Drosophila melanogaster: one gene and its partners. The protein of the gene in region 1 interacts with the protein of each later gene in a biochemical or structural test. Each region holds a gene or a part of one and is shown on either strand. Other genes may lie near its edges.

Evidence for each region. Proteins that work in one complex are often made in the same cells at the same time.
Region 2: of the proteins of deltaTry (region 1) and Rpn10, one has a biochemical effect on the other in vitro, tested with the Drosophila melanogaster proteins (one study listed by BioGRID).
Region 3: of the proteins of deltaTry (region 1) and Rad23, one has a biochemical effect on the other in vitro, tested with the Drosophila melanogaster proteins (one study listed by BioGRID).

The regions. Positions count from the first base shown.
Region 1 is NT_033778.4:11,352,212-11,358,917, reverse strand, and holds deltaTry (deltaTrypsin), read right to left. Parts: upstream 3,600-6,706; 5' UTR 3,586-3,599; coding exon 2,824-3,585; 3' UTR 2,790-2,823; downstream 1-2,789. Other genes in the region: CG12384 (uncharacterized protein), read left to right, coding at 494-582, 647-802; iotaTry (iotaTrypsin), read right to left, coding at 1,417-2,175; CG13202 (uncharacterized protein), read left to right, coding at 2,446-2,591, 2,653-2,752; CG30025 (uncharacterized protein), read left to right, coding at 4,559-5,320.
Region 2 is NT_037436.4:21,532,887-21,539,410, reverse strand, and holds Rpn10 (regulatory particle non-ATPase 10), read right to left. Parts: upstream 2,412-6,524; 5' UTR 2,299-2,411; coding exon 2,273-2,298; intron 2,172-2,272; coding exon 2,031-2,171; intron 1,971-2,030; coding exon 947-1,970; 3' UTR 829-946; downstream 1-828. Other genes in the region: COX8 (cytochrome c oxidase subunit 8), read left to right, coding at 57-167, 244-339; ppk5 (pickpocket 5), read right to left, coding at 2,550-2,662, 3,214-3,799, 3,858-4,068, 4,121-4,381, 4,435-4,534, 4,598-4,751; Mkrn1 (makorin 1), read left to right, coding at 6,291-6,524. UniProt on the Drosophila melanogaster protein: Binds and presumably selects ubiquitin-conjugates for destruction.
Region 3 is NC_004353.4:303,929-311,650, forward strand, and holds Rad23 (Rad23), read left to right. Parts: upstream 1-4,164; 5' UTR 4,165-4,295; coding exon 4,296-4,361; intron 4,362-4,484; exon of another isoform or gene 4,485-4,502; coding exon 4,503-5,151; intron 5,152-5,610; coding exon 5,611-5,705; intron 5,706-5,765; coding exon 5,766-6,089; intron 6,090-6,150; coding exon 6,151-6,261; 3' UTR 6,262-6,894; downstream 6,895-7,722. Other genes in the region: Syt7 (synaptotagmin 7), read right to left, coding at 1,088-1,248.

The sequences.
Region 1 (6,706 bases):
GAGTTTTCGATTTTTGGCAGCAATTGAATCTTATAAGAACAAACTGCCTTGTTGGCAATCAATAATGCACCCAATCAAATCAATTGCCAGAATATCTGCGCCCTTATCAGTATCTTAACCTGTTTCGGCCAAAGCTGATAAGTAAACAAATAAGCGAACACAGGCAAGCAAACGCATAGCTTTCAAGAAATGTATGTTTGTATTTGTACTTTATGCTGACGTCACGTGCAATTCAAACAATAACGTTAACTGAATAGGAAATTATTACTTTTTAAAGTAGCTTTTTACGCCTTATATTTTATCCTTAACGTTTATAAAATGCCATTGACTTAATCATCTTCGTACAATGTAAATAATAACATGTCAACTTTGGACGACTAGTATGGCTTACTTACTTTTTAATAGCCGCTTTACGTAAACACGGCTTGAATCGGCTACTGTGGCCAAGCCTCATTTGTTGCCAACCCTATATGTTTTTGTTATTTAATTATAGTGAAGGCTGGTGGCATGCGAATTGTGCAGCACAAAGCGCCGACGGCAGAACGCGCGCCCAAGGATGCAGAGGATTGTACTGGACTGACAGTGAGCTATTGACATAAGTATGTGGTTTTCAATGGAAACTAACTTATCCTCTAATCCTTTAAAGCAACCCATTGCCGTGAACTCCGGCTCTGTGAGCGGTGCCCCCGTCAAGGGCAACACGGACTTTACGCCCGCCTCCGCCCAGGTGGCCCACTCGCCCAAGCCACCGGCTGCAGTGCAGCAGAAGCCCCAGATCCACATCCAGCAGCCACGGAAGTGATGCGTACTCGGGCGGAATAACTATTATCATTATCTAATCTCTTTGATCTTTTGTTGAAATTCTATGAGTCCTCTCAATGGTATTGAAATCGCCTTTGAATGCGATATTTACTCTTTAATTTTATATATGCATTTGCCACTGCATTCCATAAATTAAAAATGCTGATTTTCTGAGTTAATATTTTGTAATAAACTTTATCCCTTTTATAGATTTCAAGACATTCGTTTCGAATGCGTATATCTTAAATTTTTACCTAAACCAACTCGTGGTGTTCCTGGTGAGCTTGGATGCGATAAAACATTGACCAAAGAAGACATATAACACTATACATGAAATTCGTGATTTCCGATGTTATCTATATTGCCCTCAGATCTACTGGAATTTGCTCTACACGTACTCTTAAAATTCCCAAGTGCTTATTCAGCACAACGTGTATATAATTAGGGAAACTCTAGCACACTAAATGCCCCACTGAACTTCGGTGGTCCGGGGTGCGGACTTCAAATCCGTAGTCGATTTGCGTCGAAGTGGTTCGATTCCACCTGGGGGGCGAATATTAATGGAGTTGCATTCTTAAACTTTTTTAAGCATGGTCTTTATTTTCCAAAATCTGTTCATATGGCATTGGCCGCCTTGACTATCCAAGGTCGCAGAATCGCCACATCGGCATAGACACCGGGGTAGTTGTCGTCCGCACACCGGTAACCCCAGGATACAATGCCCACCAGCTGGCTACTGGCCACCAAAGGACCTCCAGAGTCTCCCGTACAGGCATCTGCATCAGTGCTGGCAGCGCAAATTGTTTCCTCGCCCACAAAATCCGCACCGTAGCCAAACTTTTGCGAGGCACACTCTCCGCGATCGATGATCTGCAACTGGGCCTTCTGCAAGCTATCGGAGAGGGCTCCATTATCAGTGTGGCCCCAACCCGTGACAGTGACTGTTGTTCCACCCGATGGACTCGTACTGGCTAAATTGATGGCTCTCGTTGAGAGGCCAAAGGTCAGTGGTGTGGACAGACGAAGCACGGCAATGTCGTAGTGCAGGAAGCGGGAATCAAACTGCTCGTGGACTTTGTACGCCGCCACAGGAACCAATGTGCCGCCGTAGTTGTGATTCTGTGCACCCACACGCACCTTCATCAGCGTCACGGATCTCTCATGTAGACAGTGTCCGGCTGTGATGATGATCTCCTTGCTATAGATGACTCCGCCGCACTCGTGGCGCGCACTGATCTGAATAGACACCTGCCAGGGGGCGTTACGAATCAGCTGATCGCTTCCGCCAATAATTCGTCCAGTGGCCTCGACATCTGACGCATCGCCGAGCAGCAAAAGGACCAGCACCGTAGCCACTATTCCGTAAACAGCCATTCCGAAAGCCAAGTGCAAACTGCTCGTATTTGTCCACGAAACCCCTTCATGGCGTGCTTTTTACTAGGGCTGTAAAAGTTAATCTTCGGCTAATTGATGGCTTATCGTTAGTATATATTACTGATACCCTTGATTGGTCTTGGTCAGCACTGCTCCTTACCCGGTTCTCTAGTTCGATATGAAAACACGTTGCCCAGGCAACTATTGCCAAACAAATTTATTTAGATGTTGTGAATATCGAAAAAAGGACTTTTGAGAGATAATACCGACATGGATAACTGGAAGATAACCGCGGAGGAGCTTATCCGTCTGCGGGAGAGCTGCTTGCAGTGCATCCGTGATGGAGAACTCTATGAACTGCGCAACGATGCCAAACTTAGGGCTGTTTATAGCACTCAGAACTACGAAGAATTCAAGTAAGCAATACAAATAAACATGTCTCAAATTGAAAAATGCATGTAAGCCAATTGCCATCAGGAACATAGTGGATGCGGCTCATCTTCGTCCAGTGACCAAGGGCGACAAGGCGAATTTTAAGACGAAGAATCGACTATGGAACTCGGCGGCCCGGGATTAATTTGTTAATTGCGCAATAAAAATAAAAGACCAAGTTTATAGTCAGAATATACGTTTTATTTCGCACACTTTTTAGGCATTGCTAATAACCCAGGAGCGGAGGGCAGCAACATCGGCATAGACACCGGGGTAGTTGGAGTAAGCGCATCCGTATCCCCAGGAGACAACACCGACGAGGACTCCGCCGGAGACCAGTGGGCCACCGGAGTCACCCTGGCAGGCATCCTTGCCGCTGGCAGCAGCGCAGATCATGGTGCTGCGGATCTGGCTACCGTATCCGTAGGTGGAGGAAGCACACTGGCTCTGGCTAACGATGTTCACGTTCACGTACTGCAGCTGGGAGGGGATGGAGCTGGATCCGTAGGAGAGAGTGCCCCATCCGGAGACGGAGGCCGCAGCGCCGTTGGCGGGGTTGGAGCTAGCCAGACCGATGGCCTTGATGGTGGAGCTGAAGGTCAGGGCGCCGTTGATCTTGATGATGGCAATGTCGTTGACCATGGTGTTGGCGTTGTAGCCCTCGTGGTTCTTGAAGGAGGACACAGAGAAGGTGACACCGCCGGAGCTCCAGTAGCTGGATCCAGCACGGATCTGCAGGACGGAAGCGGACACGGACTGCAGACAGTGAGCGGCGGTCACGATGACGTTGCTGGAGTAGATGGATCCACCGCAGGAGTGGCTTCCACTGCGCTGCAGGGAGATCTGCCAGGGGAAGCTGCTGATGGTGGTAGCAGAGCCGCCGACAATGCGGCCATCCAACTGAGGCAGGAGTCCCTCAGGGACGGTGCCTCCCAGGGCGCAGGCTACTGCAGACAACAAGATCACGAACTTCAGCATGGTGCGAATCCAATGAGTTGACTCTAAACTGGACACCCCTTTTATACAGGGACCTATCTCTTTGTGGCGCTCTTATCATAAATTTCAATTATTTTTATCACTTGCTTGTCAGGGAAATCCAAAATATTTTTTAAATGTGTGACCGACAAATAGATTTCGCGAATAAGAAGTATATACGTATACAAAGTCCAGATTCATGCCAAACGATTTTTTTTTGCAATAAGTTGGTCATTTAAATAGCTTGAAAAAGATAGTCACATAAAGATATCGGGGTTTAAACGAAATTAAAACAATTTATATTTCTATAAACAATTTATTGTGTTTTAAATAAACAGACACCATAATTTTTTAAAAGAAATTATATAACTTATGAGAAACATCATGAGCATTACTAGAAAACAATGCAATTGAACGCATAATCATGTAATTAAAATTAATGCAAAGGCGATTAAATTGTTCTTAAAATTAATGGTTTTACAAAATTCACAAATTAAAATGCTAAACAGTTATTTTCTTTTAAAAAGCCAATAATATTAATAGTTATGCACACAATTATGTATAATAATTGGATTAGATTAGAACTAAATCAAGTTGAATGACAAGCATCCACTTTTAAAAAATTCCACAATGTTATTGTACAAGTTTAATCCCCTATTTAAATATGTAAGTCGAAAATAGACGTTCCCATCAATACCTTGCAAAAATTAAATATAATAAAAAGAAAGCGAATTATTTAGAAAGGTAATATAAAAGTAGTTACACTTTCCTCGCATTTTTATTTATTTTTGTGATAAAGAGCCGTGCGACTTCTGAGTTGTGGAATATCATTTGGGCACTTCAACGGTATTATTTGGGTTTTCCTGACACGCAGGTGATAAAAATAATTGAAAGTTGTGATTATAGTGCCAAGAACAGATTGGAAACTCGTATAAAAGGGGTGTCCAGTTTAGAGTCAACTCATTGGATTCGCACCATGCTGAAGTTCGTGATCTTGTTGTCTGCAGTAGCCTGCGCCCTGGGAGGCACCGTCCCTGAGGGACTCCTGCCTCAGTTGGATGGCCGCATTGTCGGCGGCTCTGCTACCACCATCAGCAGCTTCCCCTGGCAGATCTCCCTGCAGCGCAGTGGAAGCCACTCCTGCGGTGGATCCATCTACTCCAGCAACGTCATCGTGACCGCCGCTCACTGTCTGCAGTCCGTGTCCGCTTCCGTCCTGCAGATCCGTGCTGGATCCAGCTACTGGAGCTCCGGCGGTGTCACCTTCTCTGTGTCCTCCTTCAAGAACCACGAGGGCTACAACGCCAACACCATGGTCAACGACATTGCCATCATCAAGATCAACGGCGCCCTGACCTTCAGCTCCACCATCAAGGCCATCGGTCTGGCTAGCTCCAACCCCGCCAACGGCGCTGCGGCCTCCGTCTCCGGATGGGGCACTCTCTCCTACGGATCCAGCTCCATCCCCTCCCAGCTGCAGTACGTGAACGTGAACATCGTTAGCCAGAGCCAGTGTGCTTCCTCCACCTACGGATACGGTAGCCAGATCCGCAGCACCATGATCTGCGCTGCTGCCAGCGGCAAGGATGCCTGCCAGGGTGACTCCGGTGGCCCACTGGTCTCCGGCGGAGTCCTCGTCGGTGTTGTCTCCTGGGGATACGGATGCGCTTACTCCAACTACCCCGGTGTCTATGCCGATGTTGCTGCCCTCCGCTCCTGGGTGATCAACAACGCCTAATTATTTTTCGAAATAAATCATATATGAACAGTTTATGACGGTCGTCAGTTTATTTTAAAAGATGGTCTTAGTTAAAAATCAGGACACAGGGTTCACATTTTTAGATGGTAATGACTGTTCGAGTGCAATGACTATTAGATATAGTGAGTTGTGCAAGCAGTAAAGGGACTGCTTTTAGGACTATGGAAATTGATTGATTGGATTTAACTATCCCCATATTCTGTTAGAATGCCCTAAGGATTATTAGCGTGATTGGAATTGTAAACAACTAGGCATTATTAAGAAGCAAACTTGCGCAATGTAGTCGTAAATAAAACATGCATTTTTAACTACAACTTTAAAGCTCTATTAGTTTTCCAAGACTGTACGTTAGGCGGATAGGGAAATCTAGATCATGATCAAGAAGAATATGAATTTTATAGGCTCGATACGCATCATTCTACATAAGACTTACTTTATAACGATATATTCGTAACCATTTTATTTTTATACTCTTTACTCGTAGAGTAAAAGTGTATAATAGATTCGTTTAAATGTATCTAACAGCTACAAGTTAGTGTTTCCAATCATATAATGTACATATATTCTTGATCAGGATCGATAGCCCCATCCGTCTGTCGAGTTCTTAGCAACTATAAAAGCTAGAAGCTTGAGATTAGGCATACAGATTCTAGAGACATAGACCCATATTTCCCCTCCCACAATTTTGAAAAATATTTTGATTTTTTTCACATTTTTATTGTTTTGTAAATTTGTATCGATTCGCCAAAAATATTTTTGCCACGCCCACTCTAACGCCCACAAACCAATCAAAACTTTTTTTTCATTCATTCATTCATTCATTTCATTCATTAATTTCATTCATTCATTTCATTCATTAATTTCATTCATTCATTTCATTCATTAATTTCATTCATTCATTTCATTCATTCATTTCATTCATTTCATTCATTTCATTCATTTCATTCATTTCATTCATTTCATTCATTTCATTCATTTCATTCATTTCATTCATTTCATTCATTTCATTCATTTCATTCATTTCATTCATTTCATTCATTTCATTCATTTCATTCATTTCATTCATTTCATTCATTTCATTCATTTCATTCATTTCATTCATTTCATTCATTTCATTCATTTCATTCATTTCATTCATTTCATTCATTTCATTCATTTCATTCATTTCATTCATTTCATTCATTTCATTCATTTCATTCATTTCATTCATTTCATTCATTTCATTCATTTCATTCATTTCATTCATTTCATTCATTTCATATCATTTCATTCATTTCATTCATTTCATTCATTTCATTCATTTCATTCATTTCATTCATTTCATTCATTTCATTCATTTCATTCATTTCATTCATTTCATTCATT
Region 2 (6,524 bases), on another chromosome or scaffold:
TCTAACCTTACAGCATTGATTTTACGCCAGCGTATTTTGCGAAAAAGTTTGTGAAAATGTTCCAAAACAGCGCTGCCCGCCTCCTGGTCCCCGCTATGCGTAGCGCCATGCAGAGCCGTTGCCAGTCGGTCGTCTCTGGACCTCCGACCCAGCGCATCTCCACCGCCGTAAGTTTGAGCTTGTTGCATAACCAGGATGTGATTCCCAAAGCGAAAAACTGATCCTTCACTTTTTGCATTACAGGAGAAGGTGATCCTCGGCGGCGGCATGTGCGCTGCATCCTTGTTCATTCCCGCCTGGGTGCTCTACCACATCCGGGACTACAAGGGCGACAAGTAATCTGCATACGAGACCACACATAGTTAATACGCTTGTAAAGTAGAGAGCATCAATATATCAATAGTGCCCCTGTTACGGGGAAATAAACTATAGTGCATTGAGCCACAAACTGATTTTATTATTTATCTATGGTCCAGCTGTAAATAAACGTGTGTCTGATATATGGTACTGACATTGTATAAAACGCAGTATGCCAGGTGTAAAGTGGACTCTAAAAGAGGCGGGCGGAATCCTTGATGTTTTAAATTCTTCCGTGTTTAACTTCAAAAACTGGCCAATGAGCTCAAGTTCATTTACTTTAAGTACAGAATCCAATTTATTTACTTTAACTAGAGTCGTGAGTGACAGATAGAAGAAGCATTATGCATATGCTTCCCTAATAAACATGCTTACCCGAGTCGACCGGCCACTATCAGGACTAGAAAATTATTTTTACTAGACATGCAGTGAATGAAAAGACCCTCGCAGTCAATTAAGTCAGCAGCAGATCGTGTGTATTTGTTTATATATTTTCACTTGAAGCATAATTTGAAAGACGGCTACAAATGATTTTAATGGGCATACAAATGCTTTAAACGAGCTTATTAGATATAATCATAGATGCGGTTTATTTTTTTTGCGAGTCCTTGCCGTCGCTCTTTTTGTCCTTGTCCTTGTTGAGTGAACCGACAGCATCGCGCACCGCCTCCGACTGGGGATCAACACCAGGCAGATTCTCCAGCACGCTCTGCAAGAAGGCCGGGTCTCCGATCACCTCCGAGTAATCCTCGTCCACGTCCATGGGAGCGTTTGCCTCGTCCGTCTTTGGGCGCTTTGCTTGCTGGGTAACAGAGTCGTCGGGAGCGTCCTGCATGGACATCTGCATAGCGAAGGCAATCTGTTCCTCCTCAGTCATGTTAGCAAAGTCCGGCAAGTTGTCCTCGGGTGTTTCGGTGGACAGGGCCAGGGCACGCTGCAGCATGGCCTCCTCGGTGTTGGCTTCGTTCTCTGCTCCGGCACTTTCTTCGTTTCCAGGTCCAGATCCCGAAACGCCGCCTCCGCCACCAGCATCTCCGCCAGTCGGTGGAGCCCCATCGGGATTGGCGCGACGTTGCTCGCTCTCCTGGCGCTGCCGTTGCTCCTCCATAGACACACGCAAGGCGAGAGCCAGTTCGGGGTCCTCGTTGGGATCTACACCGAATTCGAAGACGTTGCCGCCCAGGCCAGCTCCGCCCATGCCGTCCTCGCCCTGAATGATGGGTGACGACAGCAGGGCATCCGACAAAACTGATCCCCGAGGCACGCTGACCAAATGGGAGCCGGTGCCGTCCTTGCCATTAAGCGCGTTGATGAATGCTGTGAGAATCTCGTTGTTGTTGCCATGATCACCGAAGCTAACTATGTCTACGTTGACCTTCTCCTTCTTGAGGCGCTTGGCCTGCTTCACTAGATCGCCCTCCTCGTGATTGATGGGGGAGCCCACAAAGACCACGATGCGCATTTTGTGGTTCTTGCCTTGGCGATGCTTCAGCACCAGATGGGCAATTCGGATTCCGGTCAGGAGGTTTATCTCGCCCTTCGGCTGAACCAGATGCATCTTTGAGAAAATCCGTCCTGCATCGCTAGTAAGAGTGGCCAGCACTTCAACGGTGCTGAGGTATAAACAAAGACATAATGAATATGTGGCATGGGCACAAACGCTCCACACTCACTTGGACAGAGTCATCAGGCCCACATTGTTCTCGGGATTGGAACGCAGCTTGGTCAGGCAGACCAGATTGATGCCATCTCTCTGGACGATGAGACGAGTTGGAAAGTAGTCTCCGTTGCGCTGGAAGTCGCTGTTATCAAAGCTGGAAAAGAGCAAAATATGAGTGCCAGACTGTGTGCCGTTGCAAGCAGTACGGGAAAACTAGCGGAAGCTCTTCGTATTGCTCAAAAAACAATAATTTACCATATCATAGTACTCTCCAGAACCATTTTCGTATTTTTGCTTGTCACTTTGCCACTGAACTGTAATTCCCCAGGGTTGCCAGGTGCTGTGCTGCCTGAACTATCGGCATTAAAATATCGGATTTGTATGACCGTTGTGCGATATTTTTGTTTGATTATATTTACATATGTACATTCTTTTACATTTTTCTACACCAGTCCATTATTTAATGTTAGTCCTGTGGAAAAGTAATTTAGATTATGTAACACATTTAAAGTTGTTTATTTTATTTACTAATTCAGAATATTAATATAAGCAACAATGTTGAAACAAACAAAATGATGTATATTATCTCCGCAAGGAATATTACACTGAAACCAATCATTAGGCTCATGATTCCACCAGTTGACGCTGGAAAAGATACAAGGAAGATACAACGCTTTAGTCAACTGCCTTGAATTCTAAAACCATCTCTATATAAAAGTTGTATAATTTGTTTTTATCAATTTTGGATAAGCCTGAAGCTCTTTTGTATGGTACTAGGCAAAATCAAGCAAAAATATTTCCTTACGAGGTGACGAGTTACATACGTTATGTAACGACAAATAGTAATATTTGATTTGTATCAAATAAATTAACTCCTAAGTATGCAACTTTGAGCATAAAAATACCTTCTGATAAACGGTAATATTTGGATTTTTTAAGCAGATTGTGCATTACACACTCTCTTATTGTGCATTACACTCCGGGTGAACATCGTCACTACATGGACTGTTTTTATTAATCGACTTAAAATACCCCCTCGAGTTAAAAAAAAAAAAACATGGACGTTTATACTATCAGACGGACGGGCATCCCTGATAGACTCGGAATATTATCGGAATTGCAATTACTGTTCTAGTAACGATATAACAATAACGTAGAAAGTATTTAAGATCTAAAAAATTTAATAAATAGCATACCCATATATTCAGTGGGTCCGGTATACGAAGTCCTTACACTGCTCCTGAAATAGTTGTCGGTGTGAAAAAAGTTTACTACCGCCAAGTTTTTGCGCATGTATTCACTTGAGAAATTCGTCAAGTAGTTGGTCTGTGCCTTGACGTCCTTTTGGCTGAATGGAGTGGAAAATGCATCGGGAAAGAAAATTAGGTCGTGGCAGCTGGTCAGGCAAAACTCCTTGCACTGAGAGCTCTGTAGGTCGAAGATCTGGGACTCTGCCCGATTCAGACATTCAAAGTGGAACACATCGCACACTGAGGCGTTGGGATAAATTAGTGGTAGGTAGTAGGGAATACAACTGCAAAGTCTCAGGAAAAACATGGAGTCGCACTCGGCCTCGCAGTTTCGGCGCGTATAGTAGCGATAGAAGAGTAATTCCTGTTCGTCACTAAAAATACACTGGCGTTTCGTCCTGTGAATATTCCTTATAGAGGGTGTAGCCTCAACGTTTCTAGCTATGATGCGAAAACTCGTCTGGTGCCCAATCATCACAGGTAATCCTGACTCCTTCATGCGCGGCTGGTCTATCGGATTATACAGGAGTATCTGAAAGGTATCTGAAAGGTATAAGCTAGCTGGGCAAAAAGCGTACAACACAACTTACCTTAAAGCCCTGTCCGTTTGTGGAGGAGCAGAAATAGTCGTCCACGTGACCGTTGAGAACGATTTGCAGACCCATCGAGGTACCAACTCCAACTCCCGGACGCGGATAGTAACTTGAGGGTAGTCTCTGTGGGTAGCCAGATATTGGATCCCAGTCCACGGCGATATCTGCAAACCTGTCGGACGAAGTGAAGTCCCGAATGTAGGGCGATCTTTAAATGAGTAAGTAAGTTATTCGTTCTTTTGACCTTCGTTGAACCCTACTTGAACTTATAAAGATAATACGGATGCAAGACATTAAATATGCAGCACAATCCTTCATCCACGAAAGTTTCTCTAAAGATGTCAGTGCAGGGTATCCTTTGTTGATGAAATATGCAGGATACTATCAGATCTGCACACTTCTCGGAAACATCCAATATGAAATTTGAGAATGTTTCATTTCTGTGCTGAGTATCCATGTATTGCGAGAAATTTGACTCCTTATAGCAGGTCTTTTGAAGCATGGCGTATCTTATGGAGCCCCTAATAGAGTTTATTATATAATTGGGTTTCCATGGGACTTGAATGATACTTACGGCATTAAATGCTCTACTTTCGACTTTTTAGCCTGGTTCATATTGCAAACCGTTATGGTTGGAAACGGAATTTGATCAATGGGAGTCATCTTAGAGCTAACTTTAAAGTAAGATTAAAATGTATTCATATCCCTAAAAGTAATATATGTTATGATTTATATACTTCCAATAATAACTGGTGTGCTGTCCCACTTATTGTAAATTCCAACCGCCAAGTTCACGGCCACAAAAAGAACCAAGGCGAATATGATGGCGAAGTAAAGCTTTATCCACCAAGAATAATTATTATCACTAATAACGTACTTAAGCATTTCCATTGACGTATTTCTTAGGAAACTTTTTCCCCTTTTTCGGCTAACGCTTCGAATTTTTCCATGGAATTTCTTTATCAAGCGCATGGTCTGGTTTTTAGAAGAATTTTATGAATACTGTTCACCTGAGTTGGCCCGAATAACTTCTAATTACTTCAGATTGCCTGTAATAGCCTTAATTTACGTTAGAAATGGTATCTTATTTAGTTTCAAAGTCAATTAGAGCGTTACTGCTACACAGCAAATATGTTCAGGTACATTTGATAGTCAGATAAATTTTATATTCACACAAGCGGAATTATTACATTGAGATAATGTCAGATAAATAAATATAGATATTAAAGCTTTAGAACGTTACAACTACGTTATATCCTCCGTTAAATCCTCTCCATCTGTTCACTAACAGAATTTGACCACGTATCATTTATAAATTTTTTCGAGTGAAGTTACGCTGCGCTCCTGTCATTGCCGCGTCATTATTAGGAGCAATTATTTATACAATATACATACAAATGGTATACCCTTTAACACTAATTAAATAAATAGCCGGGTGGAAATAAATCCTTTTGATTAGTAAACTGCTTTCTAAGCTTTGATAGAATGGGGGAGTAACACTGTAAATCTTATTATTAAATATTATCTTACATCATTATGCCCGTTACTCGTAAATAAGAAGGCTTAGTAGATTCGTTATGTATGTAGAAGGATTAAGATGAAGATTATTGCTACGCCAATTCTAACGGCCCAAAACCGTTACGCCTTTCTGTCCAGTTTGATATTCTGTCTATTGATATGCCAAAAAAATTAAAAAATTTCTCGGGTATCTGATAGTCGAATAAAACGTTCTCTTCTGTTGTCGTTTTCATTCTTTTGTTCCTTTCCCAGAATTCCTAGTAAAATTTAAAAAGCGTTCGAACATTCAAACAGTAAACGGTTTGTTGTGCGTGTGATTTTAGTCTTCAATGGCTTTGGTCACACTGCGGAAAAAAATTGTGAATGTGATCCAAGGTGCATAAAACGACAAAGTAAGAAACTGTGAGTGCTGTGGACATTAAACCAGCTTCGATTTCAAGAAGTCGCACTCCCTGAAAGCAAGCAGGTAATGTAAAACATTCATCGCGTGCGATGCAAGGGTTATTTTGAAGTGCGGGATCGCAACGTTCATATGCGTACAGGAATCCTCGCACTTGCATACATACTTACATTGCATATTTCACTGATGCTAAGGGGATATTTGAAATGCAAAAGGTGTCACGAGTGCATTTCGTGTGCTTTCCTGCTAAGGATTGCGGAAACTCCCGAACAACTGTGGTTTAAGGGTACACGGGCTCTGTTTGCCGAATCTGCGTATGTACGCAGTGGCTGTGTCTGTAGGTATGTTCGTTTGGGGGTAAGAACGCTTGAGACTGGAGGTCACATTTTCCTGAATTTACCCATTTTGCCTAGCGTCAATCGCTAACCCCTCGCCTTTGCTTTCAGGTCATCAGGTCCAGACTTGTCAGTGATTTGAAAACCCGAAAACCCTTTTGCGATCATCGTAGCGAAATGAGTGCCGTCACCAGCAGCGATACAGCCATCAGCGGCATGGCTCTTGGCCGGAGCCAGACCATCTGCCGCTACTACGTGCGCGGCATCTGCCGCTTTGGGGAACTTTGCCGCTTCTCCCACGACCTGAGCCGCGGTCGTCCCGAGTGCGAGGAGCAGGTGGCCACCGACGTGCTGCCGAAGCCTAGTACAAGCAGCAGCAGCACCATTGGCAGCCGCAGCGCCAGCATCTCC
Region 3 (7,722 bases), on another chromosome or scaffold:
TGATCAGGATCACTAGCCGAGACGAACTAACCCTTTACGTCCGTCCATCTGCTCGCTCGTCCGTATGTACACTACTTTCAAGCTAACTGCATACAACTCTCGCAAAGTCTTATTTCAACATCTTCTCGACATTCTTTTTGGCGTACCGATAAAAACTGGAATGAAAAGAAAAAATAAAATAACACCCACCACCTTAGAAACTAAAAAAGATAGACAGTTGAGACTAAGCATGTAAATTCCAGAGACATAGGCACAGCTCAATATTGTTTCCTGATGTCGCCACGCCACAAAATTAAAACATTTTTCAAAATGTGAATAAAAATTTACGAGACTAGCAAAAATATGAAAATTCATTAATACATTTTTTAAAAGTGTCGGCGTGGCAGTTTTGGGATGGTTGTGGGCTTTAGAGTGGGCGTAGCATGAAGTTGGCAATTTAATAGAAATTTACAAAACTAATAAACGTATGAAAATACGACGGGCGGTAGTGTGGGCTTGGCAACATTTGTCTCTGGAAACTGCATGCATAATCTCAACATTCCAGCTTTTATAGTTCCTGGGATCGAGATCGGACAGACGGAATATATATACTTTATATGGTCGGAAACGCTTCCTTCTACCTGTTACTTACTTTTCATCGAATCTACTATACCCTTTTAATCTACAAGTAACGGGCATAATTAGCAATTTATATCGATTGGTTCCCGTTACAGAAGAATAAAATATTTTAACGTTAAAATTTTGTATTTGCCAATCAATCATCCGATAATAAGCTATAAATTATGATGTTTCATTAAACTGCATACAACTCAAAAATGTTGGTTTTTTGTAGCTAAATTATAATTATATATTATTATATATTGCAGAGCATGATATATAAATATTCTAAATATTCCGAGGGTACTCAACTAACGTATTTATAAAAAAGTCAAATGAATAGGACAATTTAGAAATACTGCATACTCAAAATCGTTGATAATATACAGTCATAGACATAAATAGATCCTCTATCGCTTGTTAAGAGTCGAATGTCTGTCCCCATGAAATATATAAAGTCATATACTAAACAGGAAATGCAAATACTTACCGAAGACTATAACTACTAGATTCCTCATCTTCATTTGGTTCAATAAACTGTAACTGTGATCTTTTATGCCTCCACCACAAGTATCCTCCAGCCAGAAAAAGAGCGATTGTAATAATTAATCCCAATATAGCCAAGCAAGCTATAAGTACTATGCTTGCCATGTCTGTAATAGTGAGAAGTATGTGTAATTTTTTTACGACAATTCGAATCTTAATTCAAGTAAATAACAAAGAAATCGATTATGTAAGATATAATATCTTCGGGCATACATATTTATTTCATGCAGATAAGAACGTAACTTTCTGTAACTAAGGTGTATAATAATATATAATAACAACACCCAACTTATTTTTATTTGTTTATTTTTTATACCACAGTACCACCACAGTATAAACTATGTCGCACTTTAAGATGTAGAGCATATAATATTGTTATTTAATGGCTTTCTTTTTAAAGGAGTACACATTGTTTTATGTTTGACTTATGTAAATCTCATAAAACTTGGTCCAAAACATTATTATTTGTTTAGTTCGCTGTCATAAAGGTTGCAGGTGCCGGAGATCCCAATTAAGAAATAAGCAAACCAAACTAATCCAACATTCAGTATAATTGTTACAGTACTCTATGTTTTTACACTGTCTTATTAGATTGCGTGTTGTTATTACAAATTTGAGTCTTTCCTTTGAATTTAAATAACGGCAAAAACTGTATTTTACTTTAAAACTACTTTATTCCTAAAACAATATGTCGTTTAAGTTAATATCGAGCTACTTATGCCAATGAAAACACGTCGAATACATTTTTTTATAAGAGCTCGTTTGCATGAAAAGCTCGACTCTGTGCGCATGTCATTGAAAATACTAGTATATGTATGCATATACATAGGTACGAGTTATAATACGGAGTACTTTGAAACATTTACCAAAATATAATTGTGGCTGAGTGCAGCCAATTTTGTTGTGCTACTCATTAGGAATTCCCAAAATCGGAACTTAGGGGGATAATAACTGACAAGAGTTCTGAATACAGCCATCCTTATTCTACCTTGACAAGTGCATCGAATTGTTTACTTCCTCTAGATCCTGTCATCAAATAGTTTTCTTGGCAGATCCCGATATGTCACGGTTAAAAAGAAAGCTAGGAGAGAGTGCACGAAGAAATGAAAATCTGATGCTAACACAAGAAATGAAATTAATTCACATGAATACACTTATTTATTATTATTAATTGATAAGTGGAAAAACAATGCATTCGTGTATTTTTTGTATTATTCTTTGCAAATGTCTAATGCACAAGATTATTATTACAATTAAAAATCTTCAACAGCAAATTTTTATTTTTTGTTTTTATGGTATATACAATTATTTAGAATTAACACATTTGTCATTTTTGAAATTGTATCTTTTAAAATTCTCGATATTTACTACATTTAAACACCCCACTGATGATACAGCAATAGTTATCTTAATTTCGAAATTTTCGTTAATCTTATATGAACTCAAATCATATATGTTCACAAGACAGAAGATAAGCATTGATGTATATCTTTTGAAAGGAATACGGTATTACCAAAGACACTAGAATAACAAGATGCGTAACGGCCATACATTGGTTTGCCCAAAGACCCTAGAATAACAAGATGCGTAACGCCATACGATTTTTTGGCACACGATTTTTTGGCCGTGGCTCTAGAGGTGGCTCCAGGCTCTCTCGAATTTTTGTTTGAGAGCGAGAGAGCGAAGAGCGCTACAGCGAACAGCTCTTTTCAACGCACAAAGTGGTAGGAGACATCTGTATGTGTGCACACGTATGCTCATGCATTGTAAATTTGACAAAATATGCCCTTCACCTCAGAAGTTTTTAGACTTTAAATCTATATTATTTTTGATCAATTGGCACCATGCGAAAAATTCTTGTTTTGCATTGCCTTAACGTTATTATTATTTGAAAATATATCAGAAATAGCCAAATCTATGTACATATTATCACAAAAATAAATTTCAAAAATGACTTTATATAAGAATATTTGTCATTAGAGTATTCATCTTGCGGCGTGTGAAAAATTAATAAGGCAATGATTGTTGAGTGCTTGTGTCCGCACTTCGTGCCTCAAGATATGAACAAAGCATTAGAATTATTCTAGTATATTACTTTGATATTACTTTTGCAATAAACAGTTATCATATTTAATTATTTAGTATATTTATTAAATCATTTGACTTAATATGATGTAACATTAACATTAAAAGTGTTTTAAAAAAATAATTTCTCTTTTAAAAAATTGTCAGATGAGAGACAAATTAGAATTAAACATAAATATAAATGTGTAAACGGTAGCTAATTCGAGCGGCGATTTTAACAAACAAATTTAAAAAGCTTTAAAATTATAATAGTCAGGGCGCGAATTTTTAAAAATTTTTTTATTTTATCATATTGCTAGGAAATTGGCAAAAACTACCCTAATATGTACCATGTAAATTCGTTTCTTCGATCAGAATTGATTTCGGCCCGAAAATCGTCTTCTAGCACAACACGCACACTTATACGCGTTCTCGTCTCTTGTTTTTACTCACACAAGCAATCAAATTATATTTTTAGATTTCTTACGCTCTCAGCGGGAGTGAGCGGAAAGAGAGTAATTTTGGCAGTCACCAAAGAAGTGGCTGCATAGTGCCAAACCAATGTATGGCCGTTACGCATCTTGTTATTCTAGTGTCTTTGGTTAAACTAAAGTATTTTTAAAGAAATACCGAACTACTTAAACGGAATTAAAAATTAAATTTCTTTGAAATTTATTGATCATCAACCGATGGTATATTATAAATAGACTTATATACTACAGGTATAACCTGTATATAGTATGATCTAAATCGTTGATATAATGAAATACTAACTACAGTCAAACCACGGACAATTGTTTATTTGTTACGTTCATTATGACTTCAATATTTCATATTTCATTATAAATTTCATTACAAATCTTTACATCTTTCTTGATGTGTGAAAATGTTATAAGGACTATTGAACTCTTTGGTTTGTGCTGCGATTTTGTGTCTTTTAAGCGAGAAGGTATAATTTGCCAGTCCATGTGCGGTCACACTGATGACAAATCGTTTTTATCAAGCGATATTGGGAACTAACTTTCGAGTTTGCATATGTGTATGCATATGTATATTTAATTAAGTTTTGGTTTTGTCTGATACACAAGATGATTATTACAATTAAAAATCTTCAACAGCAAACTTTTACTATTGAGTTTGCCCCGGAAAAAACGGTATGTGTACAAATAGTCAAATACTAGTATATTCACATGTATGGTATATACAATTATTGCAAATGCATATGTGTGCTTATACAGGTATTTCTTACAATTAATTTGTTGTACCATAATAAGCAGGGATTCTGATTACAAAAGGTTTTGGAACTGAAGAAGAAAATATTCGAGGAGCGCGGTCCAGAGTACGTCGCCGAAAAACAAAAACTGATCTACGCTGGCGTCATATTGACGGATGACCGCACCGTTGGTTCATACAACGTTGATGAAAAAAAGTTCATTGTGGTAATGTTGACACGCGATTCGTCTAGTTCAAATCGTAATCAACTTAGTGTAAAAGAAAGTAATAAATTGACTAGCACCGACGATTCAAAGCAATCTATGCCTTGCGAAGAAGCCAACCATACCAATTCGCCTAGTTCCACAAATACAGAAGATTCAGTTTTATCACGTGAAACCAGACCTTTATCTAGTGACGAATTGATTGGCGAGTTGGCCCAGGCTTCCTTACAATCGCGCGCTGAATCTAATTTGCTTATGGGTGACGAATACAACCAAACAGTCCTATCAATGGTGGAAATGGGTTACCCAAGAGAGCAGGTTGAACGTGCGATGGCTGCTAGTTATAACAACCCGGAAAGAGCCGTTGAATATCTCATTAATGGCATACCTGCAGAGGAAGGTACTTTTTACAATAGGCTGAATGAATCAACGAATCCTAGTCTAATCCCCTCCGGACCGCAACCTGCGTCGGCAACCTCTGCCGAGCGTTCAACAGAATCAAATTCAGGTAACTTGATGGGATTTCAATCAGCAGTCAATTTATGTATTCTTGTATGAAACGAAAATATATAATTTCTACCCAGAAGTACTAAATTTGCACACTTCAAAACATAGTGAAATTAATAAACCCGATTTGGCTCTCGCTCTTTAATGAAATTATACGGCCTTAACATAATTGCGTTAGTTTTCCTGGTCAAGAAATATTGTTGATCAAAACTTATGTTGCACATTCGTTAATAAATAATAAAAGAGTTCTCTTAGTACTGGAAATATATGCAGCTGTTAAAGATTCACTAAAATGTTTGTGAGCTCGTTGTCCCGCAGTATCATTTACATATATATGTCAACAGACACTAAAGGAGCGATAATTCACGAATTTTTGTCACTATTCTCTTCAAGGACAGGGCATCACTATATGTTTTTAGTTAATTTAATTATTATTTAATTATTTATATTTACGTTTCAGACCCCTTTGAATTTTTACGTAGCCAGCCACAGTTTCTTCAAATGCGATCTTTAATTTATCAAAACCCTCATCTTTTGCATGCAGTATTGCAGCAGGTAAGTACACTTATAATAATAATTACATGACACGTAAATGATAATTTTTTTTACGTATAGATTGGTCAGACAAACCCAGCCCTTTTACAACTTATTTCGGAGAACCAAGATGCGTTTCTCAATATGCTTAATCAACCGATTGACCGCGAATCGGAGTCAGGCGCCACCGTTCCTCCCGTTTCGAATGCGCGGATTCCTTCAACTTTGGACAATGTTGACCTCTTTTCTCCAGATTTAGAAGTAGCTACTTCAGCACAAAGATCAGCCGCGGGTACAAGTGCAGCACATCAAAGCGGTAGCGCAGCGGATAACGAAGACTTGGAACAACCTTTAGGAGTATCAACCATTCGTTTAAATCGCCAAGATAAGGACGCAATAGAACGGGTATATAGGAGTGAATAATTATATATGGACTGTCGAGTTACTTAATATATTCTTCTTCTAGCTAAAAGCTCTTGGATTCCCAGAGGCCCTTGTACTGCAAGCGTACTTCGCTTGTGAAAAGAACGAGGAACAAGCAGCTAATTTTTTGCTATCGTCTAGCTTCGATGATTAGGATGACAAAATGTAAGAAGTTATGCAAATAACACCGGAAGCGTTACATTTAAAGTTAGATGTTCTTAAATTAAATGTAAAATGTCGATCATAAAAATTCTTTTATATTCTTTTAATACCGTCGGCGTATTGTACTTGTTATTTGTTAAAAATTGCAGCCATGGGTAAAATAGAGTTACGATGTCATTTTTACTAAATATTTCACCACGACATTGTCTTCAGCATAAGACTGCAAATGTCTACAAATTTATCTGTGCCAATCCATGGTAGGGAGGCCTTGGATTAGGCCTTCACCTAATGGATGGCAAAGTATATTTCTAGTGTGTGTATTTCTAGTGTATATGCAATACACACATTAATTATTTTAAGGTCGTATTAAGCTAAAGAAGTCTTATGATTTATTCTTTCCTTATCTTGGTTGATTTATAAAATATTTTTTTGACTAGTGGGAGTCCACAATTAAGTCACTTAACACATAAAGTACTTTTTGTCGTCCTGGATGTTGGACATATGACTAAAATATATTAATCATTGTATTACATAAATTTCGTGTTTTTTTATTGTAAATAATGTCCGCAATTATGCCCTAATAAGCTGTGGCGTCTCTTTGGTGATTCCTTTCAGGATGAGTCGGAGAAATAAAACAATTTCATTAATTGCATGACATTCATAACAATTCTATAGTCGAGTGCCTCGACTATCAGATACCCTTTACTCACGAAAAAACTAATTAAAATTTTTATAAATATTTTTTATTGCTTATTTTTACAGGAATAAATGTTCTCCAGTTTTACAGTACTTAGATTATCATTAATTTACAAATATACAAAACTGTAGAACATTTGGACTTATGATACTTTTCTGCTTGCCAATTAATACGACAAATATAAAACTCGAACATTGTAATATGCATTATTAATGCAAAGAATTCTACACTTTAATATTAATAAATCTCTAATAGTTTCATGTATGGCTATGGTCCCCTCTATAATGTTGCTACAATTATAAATCTTTCCTGACTCAATGTAGATTCAAAGACACAAGAATTATTGGTAGATTTGGTAGAACGCAGGTAAGTGGAAAGAGAAGCACTCGTTAATACTTCTTTCCTTGACACGTTCCAGAACTTTAGACTGGGTCGAATTAACTTTATAAACATGGGCATACCCACCGGACCACAAATAACGTTATTCTAGTGTCTTTGGTTTGACTGTGTTAATGACAAATCTTTAAGCTCAAAATTGTAGTATAGAAACTCTTTGGTGACCATTGACACGAATAGGACTGCCGACCACAGTGACATACATATAAAGTGAAAACATACACATTTATGTGGAAATGGTCTGGCAACGACGAAAGACAAGCTTCACAGCTTATCTAACGACAAATCAAAAAGTTAGAACGATAGAGTGGTGTTTACACACAAACTACCGGATTGATGTACACTTTCTCATATCGATAT